2 linked regions of the Macaca mulatta genome follow. The protein of the gene in region 1 binds, or shares a complex with, the protein of each later gene. Links are inferred from orthologs where the notes say so. Each region holds a gene or a part of one and is shown on either strand. Other genes may lie near its edges.

Region 1 (3,521 bases):
ACGTGAGTTCAGAATTTGAGTGTTAGACCATGTAGCTGAGAATGTATTTTGTCAGACTGGCTCTGCCGCACAGCGATACAACAGTGGCTAGTGTTTAATAGACACTTGACCTGTACCACCTCACTCAATACTCACAACATTCCCGGGAAGGAACAATTATTTTCTCATCTTAAAGACAATGGAGCTGGGGTTCAGGGAGGTTTAAGGAAGCTGTTCAAGGTCACACAGTTAGCAAGTAGAAAAGCTGGACTCCAAGTGGCGTGACCCCCACGGCCTTCGCTCTGAACAGCCTCACTATGTGGCCTATGCCATAAAGCTGAGTGCAACAAGTGCTTTGTCAGTGAGTGAGAGCAGAGCTCCACAGAGCCTTTGGGACATGAGTTCTCACTGACAGCTCAAGGAATCACAGGGTGGTTGGGACGCTGAAGGTCGTGGTCAAGGTTGAGGAGGTCCCGAGTGTTCTCTGATGCTGCTGGGGGATGCAAGGTGGGGACGACAGCAAGGTCATGACCCACCTGCCCTCAGAAGTTTAGGGGCAACGGGATGAGCAAGTCTGAGGTCCATAAACAAGATGCCCACACACAGCACAGAGGCCAAGCATACGGCCACTCTAAGGAGGGAGGTTCCACAGGTGACTGGGATGCCAAAAGGGAGCCCAGTCTGCCTGCAGCAGGGCCATACCGAGATGTCGTGGTACAGCGACTTGCCGTACATCCGCTTATACTCCGATCTGATGTCCAGGAGGTCGGTCTCACTGCGAGACACCATGATGCGAATCAGGGTCCGGTCCTTTGTTCCTGCCCCCTAAAGAGAGTCCCCCCAAGAGCATGAGCACCAGGCCTCCTCACCTGCCCACCCGCCCTGGGCCTTCCAGTCCCCTCCCTACCCAAGTCCTCAGAACTCTCGGCTGAGATTTGGCTCTCCCCAGGCCTTCTACCCTCAGCCCTTGGACCTAGGCACAGGCGGGGCTAAGGTATCGCAACCTGCACATGGAAGTTACATACCCTCATGGCTTTGTTGAGCCTCTCCGCAAAGAAGGCTGGGGTGTTCTTGAGACATTTCACTAGAAGAGAGAAACTCAGCATAACCAGATCTGCAGAAAATTCTCAGCCCAAGCAGGGCATGGAGTCTACAAGTGTCCTCTTAGAGGCCCAGATGTCACATCCATCACTGCATCCATCTTTTCTCCTCTTCCTTCTGTTCCAGGCTCAACTATCCCATGATCTTGGCTCCAGCTCTTTGGAACAGAAACACGCAGAGTCTGGACACCAACCCACCCTCTTTCCTGGCAACCACCGTGATGAAAGGACCAAGAGTCAGAGGGGCGGGGGTCTTAGTGGGGCGAGGAGCTGCAGATGGTGACGAGGAACTGTGCTGCTGCTCAGGCAGGAGGGGCAGACTGGAGAGGCCATGACCCTCATGGAGAAACTGTGGCCGAGTGGAATGCGCATCTCCCTAGGCTTCCCAGGTCACGAGACCTACTGTGGGGGGCAGGCAGGGAAATGAGGATTTTCCATCTCTCCCATCCAGAAAACTCTAAAAAAAAAGCATAATGGAAAAAGGGGCAGACTGATTTTCCCAGGTGAGTAGAAAGAGGGGTTGTGAGGGCCTCAGGGCGGGGACCCAACTCTGCACAGTGGGAGGGACCTGGAGCCCACCGGGCCCTGCTAGAGGACATGGGCAATGTAAGAGGCACACTACCATCCCGGAGCCAAGCCAGCTTTCCTCAGCATGGGCCTGTTTCGCTGTTGCAAGTAAAAATCTTTCCACGTGTTTCCATCACAAACATCTGACAACTGCCTGCAGGGATGTATTTTTAGAGGAAACTTGGCAGGATATGAGTCATACTTCTCCGGGAGAGCAGCTGGATGCCCTCCCACTAATACCCACACTGCAGTTCCCTTCTCCAGAGCTGCACCACAAACACACACAAGACACACACACACACAAGACACCTCCAGGACAGCTAGGGGTTCAACTGCACAGGGACCCGGGAAGCGGCATGACTTCCCAGCATCTGGACACTCTGGGTTGAGTGATCTTGGATCCTGTGGTCCTTTCACGATGTCACCCATCAGCTGGAGGACAGGCGAACAGCCTGAACACTTACGACACGTTAGCCCCTGGACGGTGGGCAGGCAAACCTGAGACACTTACCCACAGCCAGCATGCCCTGCTCCAGATCCCCGGACATCTCGCGGCAGATGCTCTTCTCAATGTCCCGGCCTGTCATTCTCTGGTACTCATTGAAAACTAGGGGGATGACAGAGGCTTATTTTATGAACTGAAATGTGTCTCCTCAAAGTTCATATGTGGAAGTCCCAACTCCCAGGACTTCAGAATACAACCGTAGTTGGAGATAAGATTTTTAAAGAGGTGATTAAGTTAAAACATGCTGCTAGGGTGTACCCTAATCCAATCCGCCTGGTCTCCTTAGAAGAAGAGATTAGGACACACAGAGACCTCAGGGACGTGCACATGCAGAGGGAAGACCCTGTGAGCACACTGATTGCCACGAAGAGGCCACGGAGAAACCGGCACCCCACTCTAGGACATCCGGCCTTCAGAACTGCAACAAAATGAACGTCTGTTGCTTAAGCCACCCAGTTTGTGGTATTTTGTCATGGCAGCATGAGCAGACTAACAGAGGACTCACGTGAGGTGGCCTCTGCCCCCAAATCCCCCGCCTCCCACTCTGCTCCCACACCCTGCACGTCCCCAGGCCTGCCTAGCGCTCAAGGAAGCCAGAGATTTCGTCACAAGTCACACACACCACCTGATGTCCCTCTCTGTGTGGTCCTTTTCTCAGGACTGCCAATCTACTTAAGCAAATCGCACCTTAATACCCCTCCAGGGCCCACTCCCACGCACCCCAACACAGTGTCCCCTCTTCTCAAATCCCCCACACCTGCAGTCTCTGCCATTCCTTGGCTTTATTCATGCATCCATCTGTCTTCCTCAGCCTGCCTGGGAGCTGAAGCCCAGCCTGCCCCAGCCAATCTGGCTTTTTCTGCCCACCCCTGCCAGCCCAGCTCGATCTGGGACACGCAAAGCACCCATGGGAGTGGACGGCTGGCTCCTAGAGAGGCAGGCAGCATGATGGAAACCTGGGTCCTGACTCCAGCTCTGACCCAGGACATAAAACTCTCCTTCCCCAGCCTGAGTCTCAGCTTCCATTTGCATATTAAAGTCGTGATTTCTGCTCTATCTGTATCTATCTCAATATCTTCTTCAAATCAGCTCCTCTTTTCTCCTAAGTAATGTTTGTGAAGCCATGGGCTTGATGCACTACTTACATGTTCTGTACTCATTAAAAGAAATAATGATTTAAGATGAAAATGCATTCACTCAGGCTCCATTACAGGATAGTGCAGAGGTTAAAAAGTGTGCTCTGGGGTCGGGTGGCCTGGGTTCAAATCCCAGCTCAGCTGTTACTAGCTGTGCACCCCCACTTCCCTACCACCTTGTGCCTGCTTCCACAGCTGCAAATGGGGAGAGCCACAGTGCCTGCTGTGTGCAGC
Region 2 (3,521 bases), on another chromosome or scaffold:
ACCTTAGAATTAGGAAGTTTACAGTCACACCATCGTCCATCTATCATATGTCGCTGTGACATTACTTTCACCTGTGTTTCATATTCCGTAAAACGAACAAAGCCAAACCCCTTTGAATGACCAGTCTTAAGATCTTTCTTGACCTAGAAAGGATGATTTAAGTTTACTCTAACAGTACACATACACATTCCACGCCCAAATCATAGTTCCTTAAAAAACAATTTGAATGGTTTTAACTGGATGCAGTTGTTTAAAACTTAAACCAAGTTAGTCTTCAGAGTAAAAACAAGGAGGTTAATATTGAATCCATACCGTGTTAACAATAGAGCAAAACTCACTTATACAACAGAAATGTTTTTGAGTTCTTAAAAAAAAGAGAGATGGGGCCAGGCGTGGTGGCTCACACCTGTATTCCCAGCGCTTTCGGAGGCTGGATAACTTGAGCACAGGAGTTAAAGTCCAGCCTGGGCAACACAGTGAAACCCTATCTCTACAAAAAATACAAAAATTAGCCAGGTATAGTGGCATGCGTCTGTAGTCCCAGCTACTTGGCAGGCTGAAGCACAAGAATAGCTTGAATCCAGGAGGCAGAGGTTGCAGCAAGCCTAAATTGCACCACTGCACTCTAGAGCCTGGCTGACAGAGCCAGACCCTGTCTCCAAAAAGAAAAAAAGAGAAACTGAGTCTGGATTATGTTGGCTAAGGTGGTCTTGAACTCCTGGCCTCAAGCAATCCTGAGTCTGGATTATGTTGGCTAAGGTGGTCTTGAACTCCTGGCCTCAAGCAATCCTCCTACCTCAGCCTACCAAAATGCTGGGATTACAGGCATGAGCCACCACAACAGGATTTTAACAGAATGTCTTAGAATGAATTCAAAGATAAAAAGCTATTATCACCTAATTCCCTTAAGCCTTCACGCAACAGCAGGATTTTACAATATTGAAGGTAATAATATAGAGTACAAGATATGTGTGTAAATATAACAAATATTGGAAGTATCATTTGTGTAACAGGAAGTACAGTGCCATTAAAATAACAAGAATATGGCCGGGCACGGTGGCTCACACCTGTAATCCCAGCACTGGGAGGCCAAGGCAGGTGGATCACCTGAGGTCAGGAGTTCAAGAACAGCCTGGCCAACTGGTGAAACCCTGTCTCTACTAAAAAATACAAAATTAGCCAGGCGTGATAATGTGCGCCTGTAATCCCAGATACAGGAGGCTAAGACAGGAGAAATCGCTTAAAGACAGGAGAAATCGCTTAAACCCAGGAGGTGGAGGTTTGCAGTGAGCCAAGATAGTGCCACTGCACTCCAGCCTGGACAGCAAAGTGAGACTTGGTCTCCAAAAAAAAAAAAAAAGTAACAAGAATGTGGCTAAGGCATCATGGCTCAGCACACTGGGGTTGAGGTGGGAGGACAGTTTGAGCCCAGGAGTTCAACACCAGAGCATAGGCAACATAGTGAGACCCCATCTCTATGTATACCAATAAATAAATGCCAGATGCTCATTCACTGTAAAGAAAAACTGTTTGATGCAATCGAAGTTTACCTGCACCATAAGAACTTCTCCAAAGGTACTAAAATACTCTTTCAGGTCCTGTTCAGTTGTTTTCCATGGGAGACCCAACACTATTAAATCGGATGTTTTCTGGACTGCTCTTTTCACTTTCACTGCTGATGAAGCATCTGTCTCATCCATTTTTCTTTTGTTATCTAAATAAAATGAGCAGAAACCTTTTAGACTTAGCACTTCTTTAAAAACACTACCTCCTACATCCAGAAATGAGAAGCAAAAAGAAGACTCTAAGAAGAGTAAGACACTGAAAACTTGCAAGAAGTGATTTTTGCTCTAGAGGACAGAATAAAGGCTTAAGTTTAGTGTCTGAGGTGCTTTTCTGGTGCAAATTCAGTGATTTCCAATTTTGTTTTTTGTAGTACTTCCAGATTACAATCTCTCTCAAAAGGTTTATCAAAACAAAAATAATTCTACTTCACTTTGACTTTAAGTATCAGCAACTTGTATCTCCTGATGTAGATTTCACTTTTATCTTTCCTAAACATTCGACAATACACAGCTTTTGCAATAAAATGGAAAACCAGGCACAGTGGTGTATATGCCTGTAAGTTCCAACAACTCAGGAGGCTGAGGAAGGAAGTTCCAACAAACTCCTGCCTTAGAGTCCAGGAGTTTGAGGCTGCAGGGTGTCTATGAACAGCCACTACAATATGCCTAGGCAACAGAGCAAGAGCCCCCATCTCTAATTTCAAAAAAGAAAAAGAAACCAAAAGTTTGGCTTACTTAAAAAAACATAACCAGCTGGGCATGGTGGCTCACACCTGTAATCCCAGCACTTTGGGAGGCTGAGGCAGGTGGATCACAAGGTCAAGAGTTCAAGACCAGCCTGGCTAAGATGGTGAAACTCCATCTATGCTAAAAACACACAAAAAAATTAGCCGGGCTCGGTGGCAGGCGCCTGTAATCCCAGTTACTTGGGAGGCTGAGGCAGGAGAATTGCCTGAACCCAAGAGGCAGAGGTTGCAGTGAGCCAAGACTGTGCCACTGCACTCCAGCCTGGGCGAGACTTTGTCTCAAAATAAAATAAAATAAATAAATAGATAAAAATACAAAAATTAGCCGGTCGTGGTGGCAGGCGCCTGTAATCCCAGCTACTCAGGAGGCTGAGGCAGAGAACTACTTGAACCCCAGAGGTGGAGGTTGCAGTGAGCCAAGATCGCGCCACTGCACTCCAGCCTGGGTGACAGAGCAAGACTCCATCTCAAAAAACAAACAACAACAACAAAAAACTCCTACACAACCTTAACCTTAGGTTATTTAGAAGAGAAAGGGAGATAATTTTTTTTTTTTTTGAGACGGATTCTCATTCTGTCACCCAGGCTGGAGTGCAGTGATGTAATCTCCCCTCACTGCAACCTCTGCCTCCTGGGTTCAAGTGATTAAGTGATTCTCCTGCCTCAGTCTCCTGAGTAGCTGGGATTACAGGTGTGAGCCACTGTGTCTGGCCTGGAGAGATAAATTAAATGACATTTTTTTCTTTTCTTTTTTTTTTTTGAGACGGAGTCTCGCTCTGTCGCCCAGGCTGGAGTGCAGTGGCCGGATCTCAGCTCACTGCAAGCTCCGCCTCCCGGGTTTACGCCATTCTCCTGCCTCAGCCTCCCGAGTAGCTGGGACTACAGGCGCCCGCCACCTCGCCCGGCTAGTTTTTTGTATTTTTAGTAGAGACGGGGTTTCACCGCGTTAGCCAGGATGGTCTTGATCTCCTGACCTCGTGATCCACCCGTCTCGGCCTCCCAAAGTGCTGGGATTACAGGCTTGAGCCACCGCACCCGGCCCTTTTTCTTTTTTTTGAGACGGTGTCCCGCTCTGCTGCCCAGGCTGGAGAGCAGTGGCACCATCTCAGCTTACTGCAACCTCCACCTCCTGGGTTCAAGCAATTCTCCTGCCTCAACCTCCCCAGTAACTAAGACTACAGATGCAAACCACCGCGCCTGTCTAAGTTTT

What was found. Proteins that work in one complex are often made in the same cells at the same time.
Region 2: the proteins of ANXA11 (region 1) and TARDBP are in contact, whole or in part, in a cryo-EM structure (PDB 9FOR), measured with the Homo sapiens proteins. The link is inferred for Macaca mulatta from reciprocal best matches to the Homo sapiens genes ANXA11 and TARDBP. Residues at the interface, in NP_001148.1 of Homo sapiens: Gly56, Met57, Ala59, Met61, Ser62, Gly63, Phe65, Asn69, Pro71, Asn72, Leu73; in NP_031401.1 of Homo sapiens: Ala328, Leu330, Ser332, Trp334, Gly335, Met337, Gly338, Met339, Ala341, Ser342, Gln343.

Annotation. Positions count from the first base shown.
Region 1 is NC_133414.1:69,835,222-69,838,742, reverse strand, and holds part of ANXA11 (annexin A11), read right to left. Parts: intron 2,254-3,521; coding exon 2,158-2,253; intron 1,064-2,157; coding exon 1,005-1,063; intron 805-1,004; coding exon 682-804; intron 1-681. UniProt on the Homo sapiens protein: Binds specifically to calcyclin in a calcium-dependent manner. Required for midbody formation and completion of the terminal phase of cytokinesis.
Region 2 is NC_133406.1:229,708,481-229,712,001, forward strand, and holds part of TARDBP (TAR DNA-binding protein 43), read right to left. Parts: intron 1,715-3,521; coding exon 1,551-1,714; intron 144-1,550; coding exon 3-143; intron 1-2. UniProt on the Homo sapiens protein: RNA-binding protein that is involved in various steps of RNA biogenesis and processing.